Linked DNA regions of Pelodiscus sinensis. The protein of the gene in region 1 interacts with the protein of each later gene in a pairwise test. Links are inferred from orthologs where the notes say so. Each region holds a gene or a part of one and is shown on either strand. Other genes may lie near its edges.

Region 1 (7,423 bases):
TTGGACTCAGGGTCACAGGACCTCTCAGGTGTGGAGGGTCTAAGCCTGAGTCAAGCTAGTTCAAGCCCTATTGCTTTGCAATATTGATGTTGCTTTCAATCTATCCTGAAAATAATTATCTGCACAATTATCTGAATTTGTGCTTTTGGGCTATGTCTACACTGAAAGGTTTTTGCGCAAAAGAGCTGGTTTTGGCGCAAAAACCGGTGGAGCATCCACACCTCAAGTGTATTTTTACACAAGTAAATCAGCAGAACAGAGGGCTTTTGCTGGTAGAATTATTCCTCTCCCCACGAGAAATAACTCCTTTTTGCGCTACAGCTCTTGCGCAAAAAGGCAGGTGTGGACACTTCAGAGGGGTTTTTGCACAAGAAACTCCTATTGGCAAAAGCACAAGTGCTCTGATGGCCATTCTGTGACCATGCAGTGTAGACACTCCTACACAAACGCACATCGCTTTTGCAATGCGCTTTGAGATCTGGACACGCTTTTGCGCAAGAAGGTTTTGCGGAAGCTCTCTTCCACAAAAGGCTTCTTGCGCAGAACCCTGCAGTGTAGGCAAAGCCTTGGAGTCCACCAACAGACCTACACGCCAACTTTCTTTATGCTTTGGACTATCACATTTCCCCTCATAGACCATGAACAAAGGGCTAGAGTGGTCACAATTTGGAGAGGTGCTAGGAAGTACGGCATACGGATAGTTGGACTTGGGCCCTCATAATCAGTGTAGGTGCTGCAGCCCCAGGTTGGATCCGAGGGCTCAGGAATCCCTAACTTGGGGTTACAAATGAATGTAGACACTCAAGCCCTTGTTTAACAAATCCAGGGTCTGCTAACTCAAGTTCTATTAACCTAGGGCTTATTGCTGCAATGTAGATGTACCCTCAGTGACTCTGGATATTCCTGTACTGCAGTAGGACACCTGAGGTCTGTATCAGCTGACATCCATTTGTGGGGTTTGGGTTTCAGGGCTATACAGTTGGGCTACGTCTACACTGGCCCCTTCTCCGGAAGAGGCATGCTAATTTCTAACTTTGGAATAGGGAAATCCGCGGGGGATTTAAATATCCCCCGCGGGATTTAAATAAACATGTCCGCTGCTTTTTTTCCGGCTTGGGGAAAAGCTGGAAAAGAGCGTCCAGACTGGCGCAATCCTCCGGAATAAAGCCCTTTGCCGGAGGATCTCTTATTCCTACTTGAAAGTATAAAGCCTACTTGAAAGTAGGAATAAGAGATCCTCCGGAAAAGGGCTTTATTCCGGAGGATCGCACCAGTCTGGACGCTCTTTTCCGGCTTTTCCCCAAGCCGGAAAAAAAGCGGTGGACATGTTTATTTAAATCCCGCGGGGGATATTTAAATCCCCCACGGATTTCCCTATTCCAAAGTTAGAAATTAGCATGCCTCTTCCGAAGAAGGGGCCAGTGTAGACACAGCCTTGCAATGTAGACATCTGATCTCTGGTAGGAGCCTGGCTCTGAGCCCCTTTCATCTCGTGCGGTCCCAGACCCTAAGCTCCAGCCCAAGCCCGAATATCTACTCTGCAGTCTACTTTCATAACTCCAAAAGCTGATGAGCCACAGTCAACTGATGTGGGCAAGATGTGGGTGTTTTATTTGCAGAGTACCAAACAGCTTTGCCTCACTCCTTGTCTGAGGACCTGGCCCTGCCTTCCCCTTCTCTGAGGCTCTGCCCCCTGCTCACTCCCGTCTACTCTCCCTCCCTCTCTCCCACCCTCACTCACTTTCACCAGGACAGGACAGGAGGTTGGGGTGCAAAAAGGGCGTGTGCATGCTCTGGGGTGAGGCAAGAAATGAAGATTTTGAGCTGGACTGCAGTGTGGTGCTGAGAGGTTCAGAGTGTGGGAGCGTGCTCCGTGCAGGAGGGGCCGCAGGCTCTGGTAGGGAGTTTGGGTGCGTGAGGGGGTTCAGGGCTGGGACAGGAGTCTGGGACATGGGAGAGGGTTCAGAGAGAAGGCTCAGGTCGGTGTTCATCTCAGGTGGCTCCTGGAATTGGTGTCATCTCTCTCAGGCTCCTAGGAGGAAGTGTGGCCAGGTGGCTCATACACTGCCTCTGCCTGCAGGTGCTGCCGTCTCAGCTTCTATTGGCCATGGTTCCCAACCAGTGGGAGCTACAGAGCTGATGCACGGGATGGAGGGAGCCCCCTATGTCTTCCCTCTGCCTAGGAGCCAGAGGGAGATGCCGGCACTTCTCAGGAGCTATGAGGAGTTGGGCAGGCATGCTACCTGCCTTGCTGCAGGTGGCCAACCATACTTTAAATGGCCTGGTCAGCGGTGCCACGAGGGTCCCTTTTCAAGCTGGTGTTCCAATCAAAAACCGGACACCCCGGCAACCCTCTGTTTGATTGCAGTGTAGGCATACTCTTTGAGGACAGATTTTCAAAGCTAGATGGGCATCTATTGGTTCAGATCAGCACTTTGGAAAATCCCACTAGACCCTAAGCAAGTTAGACACCAAACTTGCATAAATGTCAAGAGGACTTGAGCACTCTTGAAAATTTTCCCTATGCTAAGTCAGAAGCCCCACTCGGGCTCAACAGGGCTCACACTTGAAAATCACTTAGGAGCTTTTGAACATGCCATCCTCAGTATCTGGCAGGAGACTAGTTTAAAAGTCAACAGTTTTTGTTACAATTTCCACCCATAGGAGGTGGAAGGTGCAAGGCAGTGCTGCAAGGAAGGATCTATGTAACCTTGAACTGCACTGTGAAACATATTCTGTTGCAACTGTCAGAAAGCAGCAGTAATACCTCCTTCATCCTGCGAATTCCTCCTGAAGCTGATGAGTAAATGAAGGACTGAGGCCACAGAGGCTACATCTAGACTGCAAGCCTTTTTCAAAAGATACTTTTGAAAAAGCCTCTTTCAAAAAAGAGTGGCTAGACTACACCCAGTACTTTTGAAAAAGCAAGCTTTTTCAAAAGAGAGCACCCATGCAGTCTGGATGCTCTCTTTCAAAAAAGCACAGTTTGCATTACATAGCATCTTTTTTTCAAAGGAGCACTTTAAAAAAAAAGGCATTATGCCTCGTGAAACAAGGTTTTCCGTGATCTAAAAAACTGCTGCATTCTTTCAATTTACTTTCGCAAGAACATGGCAGCAGTCTAGACTCAGGGTACGTTTTTTTCAAAAAAAGGCCATTTTTTCTGAAAAAAACTCTGTAGTCTGGACACACCCTGATTGATCACACGGTCACAAACTTAACTCCTTTCATGTGAGAAAGACCTGCTGTATGCTTCCTTCCACTGTTCAGGTTTGCCCTGAAAAGGGGCTATTGTATAAGAGTTATAGTTTTGTAAGTACTAGCCTAGTGGAATAAAAACACAGGTAGTTTTACAAGCAATAATGAAACAGGAGCATTATTACATTTTTAATTTTAAACCCATGTATGCAGGACTGGCCTTACCATGAGGCAAACTGAGGTGGCCGCTTCAGGTGCCAGATTGTGGGGGGCGGGGGGCTCCACTAGGACACAGAGTGTAGAAAATTGTGTCTGCTGCTGGTGCATATGTATTCCATCTGCAGTACCATGAGAGGAGTAGAAGAGGAACAAGGCAGAATTGAGACCTTTCAAAGTTTTGGCCAAAGCGAGGAGACATGGGGGTGTCATTTGAGCTCCCCGCCTCAGGTGCCAAAATGTTGTGGGCCGGCCCTGCATGTATGTTTACAGTTAGTAAAGATGTGGCAAAGGGAGATATATGATTGGAGGAACTCAGGGTATGTCTACACTACCACCCTAGTTCGAACTGGGGTGGTTAATGTAGTCAATCGAAGTTGCAAATGAAGCCCGGGATTTAAATATCCCGGGCTTCATTTGCATCTTGCCAGGTGCCGCCATTTTTAAATCCCCAGTAGTTCGGACTCCGTGCCCGCGGCTACACACGGCACGGAGTAGGTAGTTCGAATTAGGCTTTCGAACGAGGTGTAATGGTAGTTCGAATTAGAAAGCCTAATTCAAACTACCTACTCCATGCCGCGTGTAGCCGCGGGCACAGAGTCCGAACTACCAGGGATTTAAAAATGGCGGCGCCCAGCAAGATGCAAATGAAGCCCGGGATATTTAAATCCCGGGCTTCATTTGCAACTTTGATTGACTACATTAACCACCCTAGTTCGAACTAGGGTGGTAGTGCAGACATACCCTCAGTGTGCTTTTTGCCCTCGTGGTACACTGGATGAGATGAACATTGTAAAAAACCAGAATGGTGATCAGAAGTTTTTCTACTGAAGGAGTGAGGCTCTCCCCACGTGTTCAAGAAAAATACATGTTAGTTTGAAAAAAAAAATGAAACGGAAATAATTCCAGTATAAGATGCATGCAAGATATGATGGTAACTGTGGTACCAAAAAGGGAAGATTTTAATGAAAGGCAGAAAGGAGCCAGGTTGCCCAGCCTCCAGCATTAATTCGTGAGCACTCCAGAACAAAGACTGATTTTTAATTAAAGACTGTGTCATGTGATGTCATGTCCAGGAATATGTCCTACCAAAACTGACAACCCTAAAAGGGTCCCAAGCAGATTCCGCTTCTAGAGGGCGTAAAATATCCTTTTGCAATCACTGCCTTTGCCTATGTAAATCAGGTGTGTTACTCTGTAACTTACACATGAAAGCCCCAGGGATGTGCCCACAAATGGTTGCTTGTGCAGAATCAGAGGGCATGTTTTTGCAAACTTGGCCCTCTATGTCTTCTTTACAAAGCTACTTTGCTGCAGTGTGCCAGGGAGCATAGCTCATCCTCTCCTCTTGCAAAAGGCTGAGCAGGCTTAGTTGCTACATTGTCGCCAGTGGTGGTGGGCACACCCCGGCTTTGCCCCGCCCTGCTTCTAAGCTGAGCTTCTTCAAATTCTGGGTACACAGGGTGCTTTACGTGTGTGCCTGGCTGGGAGTGCCATGGAAGCGGAGGCAGCAGGGATGGCTGAGAAGACTACTCTGCGCACCCCCAAGTGCTCCCGCTGCCGGAACCATGGCTTTGTGGTGCCGGTGAAGGGCCACACAGGCCACTGCCGCTGGAAGCTCTGCCCCTGCGACAAGTGTGCACTCATTACAGAGCGCCAGAAGATCATGGCAGCTCAGAAGGCAATGCAGGGGCAGGACCCAGATGCCTCACCCAGGGAGAAGTCACCACCTGTGCCCTGCACCCCGGTTCATGGTAAAGGTCGGAAGGTTCCTGCAGCTGGCCCCAGCGCCTCGGACCACAGCAGCCCCGGGGGCAGGTGTGAAGGAGCCAAAACCACCCCGGCAGCCAGCAGCAGCAGCAGAGCCAGGACCCGCAGGCCAGTACCCGCTTCCAGCTCCCCACCCTTTGGGGACTTTGGTAGGGACCAGCTCAGCATTGGGGTGCCTGGCCTATAGGCCTTCACTCAAGATGATTAACTTCTATCTCTGTGTCTCTCTGTCCATCTGTGTTCATCATTCAGTGTCTGTCCATCTATTAGTGGGTATTGTTTGGTTGGTGTTTGTTCATTCATCTTCCAGGCCGATCTAGTGCCTCAGAAACTGCTAGGTCCCAGGTAAACTGTTTCCCAGAATTGCTGGAGTTGCTCTCACTCCACTTTCCCATCCTGTTTCCAGGTGGGTGTGTGTGGAATGCAATGCTGCATTTATTTTTGGTTTTGCAAAGTTTCCAAGTTGTGCCTATGGACTTTGTAGCTACAGGAACTGCCCTCAGCACCTTCTCAGCTTGTTTCCTTGTTGCAAAGATGGATTCATGCAACTAGTCCTTGTTTAACAGGGAAATGAATCAGTGACAGGAATAGAATCTTGATATTTCAATACAATACCTTGAGCTCTTTCTTCTGAGCTGTGCTATTATTTTTAAATTTACAGACATGCCCTCATGCAAAAACAAAGGAAAAAACCCCACAGAACAACAGAAAATGCAGATTAATAGGGGGATTTCTGCTGGAGTCGTCTAGAGAAGGCATTTTATAGTGGCAACATAAAAAAAGAGGACACCTCCTGGATTGGAATTTGATGTTTCACAGACTAGATTTGTCGAGAACCAGTTGGTGTAAAATTTTGTGTATTTAAGAATGGAAAATAGAATGTAGAAATGGAAAATGCATATGGTTATTTAGGCCATTACTTCTGATAGTGTTCTCTACCGTAGAGTCTTGGGTGTGCCTTGTCTAATCCATTTTTATTATTTATAGACTCCCACTGACCACAGTAGCCATTATATTTGGCCTCAGGAGAACCAGCACTCTAGCTCAGTGTTTCTCAACCAGTGGTATAAGTACCCTTACGGATACTCGAGAGAAGTCTGGGGGTTCGTCAACACAACTGAAATTTGGAGAAAATTCTTGTTTTAAGTTTTACAGCACTTTATTATTTTTGTACTTTTTACACCCAAAAATTTCATCACCCGCCCGACTACGATTAAGTTGTTTAAACAAATGTGTTGCAATGGTAGAAAAAAAAATGTGTGTGTCTGAAAACAGTAGGTACTGGGGGTACTTATAATTTTTTTTTTAAAGGGGGTACTTTATAAAAAAAAAGTTTGAGAAACACTGCTCTAGAACATACAGGCCAGATGATCTGAGAGATGGAGAGGAAGGAGTCACTTTAGATAGCTCCAGCACAGCCTCGTCTACCAACAGTTATTTAATTTTTATGCTTATGGGCCTGACAGCGGAAGTGTTTTTAGGAGTGATTTGAATGGATGAGACCTTGATACAGATATAGTCTAGTCATACATGGTGGGAACTACACTACTTTGGAAGATCACTTTGTGAACACGATTCTTTTTTAATAGCAAAATACAGTGGTTCTTTGAAAATGAACTGTAAAAATGAGAGAGACCAGGTGGTTGAGGTCAATATCTTTTATTGGACTAACTTCTGTTGATGGAGCTTTGTGTATCACAGCTCTACAGGTGACCGGAGGAAGAACTCTGTGAAGCTCAAAACTTGTCCCTTCTACCAACAGAAGTTGTTCAATAAAAGATACTTCCTCACCTGCCTTGTCTCTCTTATTTTGGGACCAACACAACAAAAATACTGCAAACAACTCTAGAAATGCCAGCTGTCACAGGGTACAGAGCTTTTTATGTCCTCTCAGTGATTTCAGTATTAAATTTCACTTCATCTGTAAGTCAAGCTGCTACCACAGGAAACTAGAAATCAAGCCGTTTGTCATACTTTTGATTGCAACAGAAGCATTAAAGATCCTGCAATCAGAAGTTTTTTGTGCATCCTGAACCAAGTTGTCAGCATAAATTTGAATCATATTTGCTCTCCCAAAATTGTATTAACCCATCTTTACAGCACCCTCCTTTCCTCCTCAATCCTAATGTTTCAATTAAAAAATAATTGAATAAGAACTGAATATAAACCCAAAGGGCCAGATTCTGCCTTAATTTACACAACTGAGGACAGAATATGGAACCATGACTCTTTCTATTAA
Region 2 (7,115 bases), on another chromosome or scaffold:
GAACCCCAACCCTCCAGCTCAGCCTGTCCCAGTGAGGGGAGTGGGGTGCCCTCTGAGATGAGGGGTCAGCAAGCTCCCCTCCCAGAGGGAGCCACCTCAGGAGCTGGGGCTGAATGGGGTGAGCCATGCCTGGGGGTTTGGCCTGGGCCGCATGTGCAGGGAAGAGGGTGGCAGCCAAGCGCTGGGCAGAAACAGAAGCAGGCAGCAGCCGACTGACCTTGTCTTTCTCTGTGGCTCGAATGTCTTCTCTCCTGTAAGAAGAGACAGCGAGATCTCAGCCCGCGCCTGCTGGGCCCAGGGCCACGCTCGCCTCTCTGGAGACGCAGCCCTGGCTGCCCCATCAGGGCTTATGCAGCCGTTCCCCAGGACGCGGCCCGGCACTGGGCAGAAGGCATTAGCTTGCAGGAGCCAGTCTTAGGACAAGGGGTGAGCTGCAGGGCAGCAGAGCTGGCTCTGTTCCCCAGGCAGGGCTGGGCATACATTGGTAAAGTACAGGGGGAACCACCCTCCCCCAGACCCTGGGGATGGGCCCGTGAGGTCAGGCCTTACCGTATGGTACCTCGGAAGGTGGATTTCAGCGGCGTGGAGCCGATGTAGAGGATGCGCACCTTGGCAAAGCGGGAGTTAATGCTGCACACCTGTGGGGAGAATCTGGCATGACCCCCCAGCTAAGCATAGCTCCCCCAGGCACCCAAGTACTGGGCAGCAAGACCAGCAGGGACTGGCCCCGCCCCTGCTCCACTGTAGGGGAACTAACCTAACCACCCACCCACAGCCAGTCAGAGCCCCCCGTTCCCCTGCCCGGTGATCGACTCACTGCCACACTCCGCTCCGGGGAGAGCTTGCAACTCCCAGCCACACCCACCTGCTTCTCCCAACCAGCAGCCTATTCCCCTCCAGGCTGCCCCCGGAAGCCCCTTGGTGGAAAGCAGGAATTCGGCCTCCATGGCCTCTAGGCTGAGGGTGCCAATGCCAGCGATGGAGGGGGCACCGCGCCCCGACACTTGGTTCCCAGAGCAGAGTGGGCTGGCTGGAACTGGTGCCAGGGAGCCAAGAGGCTCCCTGCCTCTCACAGAGCCACCCCGGAGCCCGCCAGCCCCTTGCGGAGAAGCCTGGCATGAGGCAGAGAGGGGATCAGCCAGAGGTTGAGCAGCAGAGGAGGTTTGTAACCCTTTCCGGTCCTTGCACAGGCATCCGGCCTGCCCTCCCCCCACCGAACGCGGCGCTCCTGCAGCAAGAGACCCAGCAGCGGAGCCGGCCAGGCAGGCGTTTACCTTGCACGTCACAATGGCCCCCACGTCGGGCAGGAGCTGGGACTCGACGTCTCTCACCACAGACACCACCGGCAGCTGCACAGGCGTAGAGAGGAGCCCTTGGTTAGCCCTGTGCCTGGCACGGCCACCTCCCACCCCCACAGAGCCAGTGTCGGCATACCACGTCCACCAGGCCCGGCCCAGCCCGGCCAAGCACTCGTCCCTGCATGCTTCAGTTACGTGTTTAGTCATCCTCCGTCATGTGACCTACTCCCCGCTTTTCACAGGACTCAAATCTTGAATTTCAGATCAATGAGCTCTCCTGGGTGGTCTCTGGCCAGACTGCCTGTCTCTCCTGTGCCCGAAAGTGTCACCCAGAAAAACTACCAACTCTCTAGAGCTACTTTCCCCCTAGACTCGCTTCCATGGGCTCTAGCCTACCAACTCCCCGAGTTACTCAAGTCTGCCTTCTTGAATCCCACTGTCGCTCTTGGGCTGGCCTTTCCCACCATTCCTTACCTCGCCACTTCCTGTTCGCTTTCACCCAGGCTGCCTTCCACTCTCAAATTCTCAACCAGCTCCTCCCTAGTTGTCAAAATCAAACCTAGAGCAGCCTCCCACAGATGCTTTCTGCAATACACTCCAGACTCCTCTTGGATGCCCTGTGCCCTGCTGCCTTCTTTTCCCAGCCGGGGACGTAACAGTGCAACCGCTTAACCCATAAGCCTCAACCCCGCCGCTCACAAGCCTCAGCTGATCAGTTTCCGTTTCGGTTACTCGCTGGCTCCCTGGGAGGCTCCACTGTGGGTTTTCCGTATAAGTGTTATACCGCACAGCCAGCAGCACGTGACCCTGGGATCTGGAGCGGTCACATTGTTAGGTGGCTTTTGAGCTCCCTATTCCCAAGAGATGTCCTGGCCGCTGAAGTCCCCCATCACTAGGGCCCTGCAAGCCCATGGGTAGTCTCAGGCATCCACACCTGCGGATGTCAAGGCGGCTCACTTCACATCCACAGGGTGGGTCAAAACCCCTCAGCCCCTTTCTGTCCTGGCTAGGAGGCCTGCAGCAGACACCTCCCATGACATCGCCCTTCGCCTGCCCCAGAGACAGCCAGTCTGCCCGCGTCCATGGCCTCAGGCCGAGCACCCCCCCCGGCAAGCTGCACCCCCCGTGCCCAGACGCCCCCCCCCGGCAAGCTGCACCCCCCGTGCCCAGACTCCAGCGGGTCCTCCGGGGGCGGGGCACTCAGGTGGGGGCGGGGCTTGCAGGGGGCCAGCAGCAGGACGCCCCCCCTCACCTCTCCGTCCCGGCGCGTGGTGAGCAGGCCGCCGGCCAGCGCGGCGCACACGGAGCCCAGCCGGGTGTAGGTGCCGCTGCCCGGCGCCGCCTCCTGCAGCCCGCAGAGCCGCTCGCCTGGGGACAGCAAGCGTCAGCCCGGCGGGGGGGCACGAGCCGGGGGGGGGCGGTGAGGGGGGGAGGGGCGGTAAGGGGAAGGGGGCGCGAGCCGGCGGGGGGGGCAGTGAGGGGGAGGGGGGCGCGAGGGTTAAGGGGGGGTAAGGGGAGGAGGGGGCGCGAGCCGGCCGGGACGGTTAAGGGGGGGGCGGGGAGGGGGAGGGGGAGGGGCTCACCGGGCACGCAGCACCGCGCCGGCCGGGCCATGCTGCCGCTCCGCAGCTCCCCGGGAAGGAAGTTTCCCATTGGCCGGTGCTCCCACGTGACCGCTACCGCCTGCGGGGAGGGGACGCCGGCCAGCGCGGGGCGCTTCGGGAGTTGCAGTCTGGAGCGGAGAGACTACAGCTCCCGGCATGCTCCGCGGGGCGCGCCGCGCAGGCGCAGTGAGCCTCAGGTACCGGGGTGATGCCCGGCCGGCGGTGAGGGCTGGGGCCGGGGCAGATGGAGGCGGGGTGCGGGCCGGCAGGTAAGGGGGGCGGGGCGGGTATCTCGCGGAGGGGGCGGGGGTTCCGAGGGGGCGGGGCGGAGGGTTCCAGGGGGAGGGGGTGTCTCGGAGGGGGGCGGGGGATTCCAAGGGGGCGGGGCGGAGGGTTCCAAGGGGGCGGGGCGGGGGGTTCAGGGGGGAGGGGGTATCTCGCGGAGGGGGTGTCTCGGAGGGGGGCGGGGGGTTCCAGGGGGAGGGGGTATCTCGCGGAGGGGGTGTCTCGGAGGGGGGCGGGGGGGTTCCAGGGGGAGGGGGTATCTCGCGGAGGGGGTGTCTCTCGGAGGGGGGGCGGGGGGTTCCAGGGGGAGGGGGGTATCTCGCGGAGGGGGGTGTCTCGGAGGGGGACGGGGGGTTCCAGGGGGAGGGGGTATCTCGCGGAGGGGGTGTCTCGGAGGGGGACGGGGGGTTCCCAGGGGGAGGGGGTATCTCGCGGAGGGGGTGTCCTCGGAGGGGGGGCGGGGGGGGCGGGGGCTGTCTCCCTCTGTGGCCCCCAGGCAGTGACGCCCCCCTGTCCGTGCCCTCGCGGGAGGCTCTTGCTGCAGGGGGCTCTGCAGACCCCCATGTCTGTGGCCCGGCCGGGGGTTTGGGCACCTGGCTCGGCTCACGCCCCCCAGGACCAGCGGTGGGTGGGTACCTCCCCCATCCGCGGCGGAGAGGCCCCGAGCACACACTGGTCGTCCTGCAATGGACACGCTGGGGTGCAGCGCCCTCCGAGCTGCCTGCCAGGCGGGAGACACAGAGGCCTGGTTCCAGGGTGATGGGTGCATCAGAACAGCCTCGGGTAGACGAGATCCTCTGCCTGTGGGATTCCCACCCGCTGCACAGCACCACCCTTAGCCCGCACCCTGGCCTGGAGACGCCAGCCCAGCAGAGATCGGGTGCACCTGCTTTAATTCACCGCAGTATTTTCTGAAATCGGATGCCTCCCTTTTCGGTGGGGCACGTTCAAAAGACAGTGAGAACCCCCCCGCCGGCTGTGCGTGATACCCCTCCCCCCGTCAGCCTTCCCAAGTAAAACATTCGCTGAACATCCCGGCCAGAGAAAACAGAGGGAGAGCTGCCCCAGCCCCACATGCCGGGGCTGGAGGAGCCGGCCTGGGAGGGAGTATTATAGGGCCGCAGTGGGGAGAAGGGCCTAGTCTGGGGCAAGGCTGAGCGCTGCAGGAGACAGGCCTCTGAGAGGCAGGGCAGAGGCTTTGTTCGGCCAGTCCTCCCCAGAGACAGGTGCTAGTTAGGCCGAGAAGCCGGCTCCAGGGCCCCTGCTTGGGCTGCCTACTCGACACGCTGTGCTCAGCTCTGTGCCTGAGCCCTGCTGGGGGCAGCCTCTCCTCGTTGATGCTGGGTGTGCCTCAGGGAGGTGGCTCCATGCCCGGGCAGGCTCAGGTTCCTCCTCACTCCAGCTGACTGCAGGCCAGTGCGCACAGCTCAGCAGGCAGGTGAGCAGCCTGGTAGGGCCCCATGCCCACTGCCCCCTTTGGCCAGCTCATCCTGCTTCCGCCCAGGGGCTGTGCCTTGGCTTCCAGGGCCGCCCTGCACTGAATTGGACTCGGGGGTGGACAGAGATCACACCCCTGGCTGGGGCTGTGCGCAAGCAGCTCCCAGGGCCGGGTTCAGGAGGGAGGTGGGAGATGGGGTGGTGGGCTTTTAATGCCGCCTGTCCCCCCCTGCGGGCTCCCTGGCTCTGAGCGCCAGGGTCTCTGGCGACGCTGGCAGCCTGTGAGTGCCCTGAGCTCCGTCTCTGGTTTCTTCTGCGTCTGGGCCAGTGAACACCTGAGCCGGGATGGGGGCAGGGAGCAGAAGGCTCTGCGCTCCTGTGCCCCAGGAGCCGGGCTCATTCCCCTTGCTGGGCCCACCAAGGTCTCCGGCACCCCCGTCCCGACCCAGAGGGGTGGCTTGTGCCTGCCAGGGGGCACTGCCAGCAGGGCAGAGGCAGAAACCCTGCCAGAGCAGGGAGCTGAAGGCGGCCCAGCGCCACGCACGGCCGGGGAGTGAGCCTGTGAGTCTCTTCCCGCTGCTGAGCACTGGCCCAGTCCGGGGGACGCTGCCCCGGTGCGGAGGGCAGGTCCGGGTGGCGCTGAGCCGGGCTCTCTCCGCAGACGGTGCGCGGTGGGGATGAGGAGCCGCCAGCGGGCGTTCTCCGCGGTGATGCGCCTCTTTCTGAAGTGCCTGCGCGTGGGCCGGCGACGCAGGCTGAGGCTGGTGTGGCGGGTGCAGCAGCTGTGGCGCTACGGGCGCCTTTGCCTCCACTCCCTGCTCTACAACTCCTTCACCAACAGCGACGTGCTGCTCGACTCCCTCTTCGAGCCCATCTACTGGCTGGTAGACCATGTCACCCGCTGGTTTGGGGTGGTAAGTGCCTGGCGGGGGGACAGCCCTGGGCTGGCGGTGGGGGGCCTGGCGGGGGGACAGCCCTGGGCTGGCGGTGGGGGGCCTGGCGGGGGTGACAGCCCTGGGCTGGCGGTGGGGGGCCTGGCGGGGTGAGAGCCCTGGGCTGGCGGTGGGGGGCCTGGCGGGGTGAGAGCCCTGGGCTGGCGGTGGGGGTGCCTGGCGGGGTGAGAGCCCTGGGCTGGCAGTGGGGGTGCCTGGCGGGGGGACAGCCCTGGGCTGGCGGTGGGGGGCCTGGCGGGGTGACAGCCCTGGGCTGGCGGTGGGGGGCCTGGCGGGGGGACAGCCCTGGGCTGGCGGTGGGGGTGCCTGGCGGGGGGACAGCCCTGGGCTGGCGGTGGGGGGCGTGGTGGGGGGACAGCCCTGGGCTGGCGGTGGGGGGCCTGGCGGGGTGACAGCCCTGGGCTGGTGGTGGGGGGCGTGGTGGGGGGACAGCCCTGGGCTGGTGGTGGGGGTGCCTGGTGGGGGGACAGCCCTGGGCTGGCGGTGGGGGTGCCTGGTGGGGGGACAGCCCTGGGCTGGCGGTGGGGGTGCCTGGTGGGGGGACAGCCCTGGGCTGGCGGTGGGGGTGCCTGGCGGGGGGACAGGCCTGGGCTGGCGGTGGGGGGGGCCTGGCGGGGGGACAGCCCTGGGCTGGCGGTGGGGGGTGCCTGGCGGGAAGACAGCCCTGGGCTGGCGGTGGGGGGACAGCCCTGGGCTGGCGGTGGGGGGCCTGGCGGGGTGAGAGCCCTGGGCTGGCGGTGGGGGTGCCTGGCGGGGGGTGACAGCCCTGGGCTGGCGGTGGGGGTGCCTGGCAGGGGGACAGCCCTGGGCTGGCGGTGGGGGGCCTGGCGGGGGGACAGCCCTGGGCTGGCGGTGGGGGGCCTGGCGGGGGGACAGCCCTGGGCTGGCGGTGGGGGGGCCTGGCGGGGGGGACAGCCCTGGGCTGGCGGTGGGGGGCGTGGTGGGGGGACAGCCCTGGGCTGGTGGTGGGGGTGCCTGGCGGGGGGACAGCCCTGGGCTGGTGGTGGGGGTGCCTGGCGGGGGGACAGCCCTGGGCTGGTGGTGGGGGGTGCCTGGCGGGGTGACAGGCCTGGGCTGGCGGTGGGGAGCGTGGGGGGGGACAGCCCTGGGCTGGCGGTGGGGGGCCTGGCGGGGGGACAGCCCTGGGCTGGCGGTGGGGGGTGCCTGGCGGGGGTGACAGGCCTGGGCTGGCGGTGGGGAGCGTGGGGGGGGGACAGCCCTGGGCTGGCGGTGGGGGGCCTGGCGGGGGGACAGCCCTGGGCTGGTGGTGGGGGTGCCTGGCGGGGTGACAGGCCTGGGCTGGCGGTGGGGAGCGTGGGGGGGGGACAGCCCTGGGCTGGTGGTGGGGTGCCTGGCGGGGGGACAGCCCTGGGCTGGCGGTGGGGGGGGCCTGGCGGGGTGACAGGCCTGGGCTGGCGGTGGGGGGGCCTGGCGGGGGTGACAGCCCTGGGCTGGCGGTGGGGGGGCCTGGCGGGGGGACAGCCCTGGGCTGGCGGTGGGGGGCCTGGCGGGAGGAGGCCTGGCGGGAGGACAGCCCT

The links. The genes of interacting proteins can lie anywhere in the genome.
Region 2: the proteins of DMRTB1 (region 1) and EXOSC1 interact in a two-hybrid assay, tested with the Homo sapiens proteins (2 studies listed by BioGRID). The link is inferred for Pelodiscus sinensis from reciprocal best matches to the Homo sapiens genes DMRTB1 and EXOSC1.

What each region holds. Positions count from the first base shown.
Region 1 is NC_134719.1:10,762,353-10,769,775, forward strand, and holds the start of DMRTB1 (doublesex- and mab-3-related transcription factor B1), read left to right. Parts: upstream 1-4,412; 5' UTR 4,413-4,909; coding exon 4,910-5,333; intron 5,334-7,423.
Region 2 is NW_027465990.1:88,450-95,564, reverse strand, and holds the start of EXOSC1 (exosome complex component CSL4), read right to left. Parts: upstream 3,017-7,115; 5' UTR 2,952-3,016; coding exon 2,882-2,951; intron 2,667-2,881; coding exon 2,551-2,666; intron 1,350-2,550; coding exon 1,275-1,349; intron 639-1,274; coding exon 550-638; intron 252-549; coding exon 218-251; intron 1-217. UniProt on the Homo sapiens protein: Non-catalytic component of the RNA exosome complex which has 3'->5' exoribonuclease activity and participates in a multitude of cellular RNA processing and degradation events.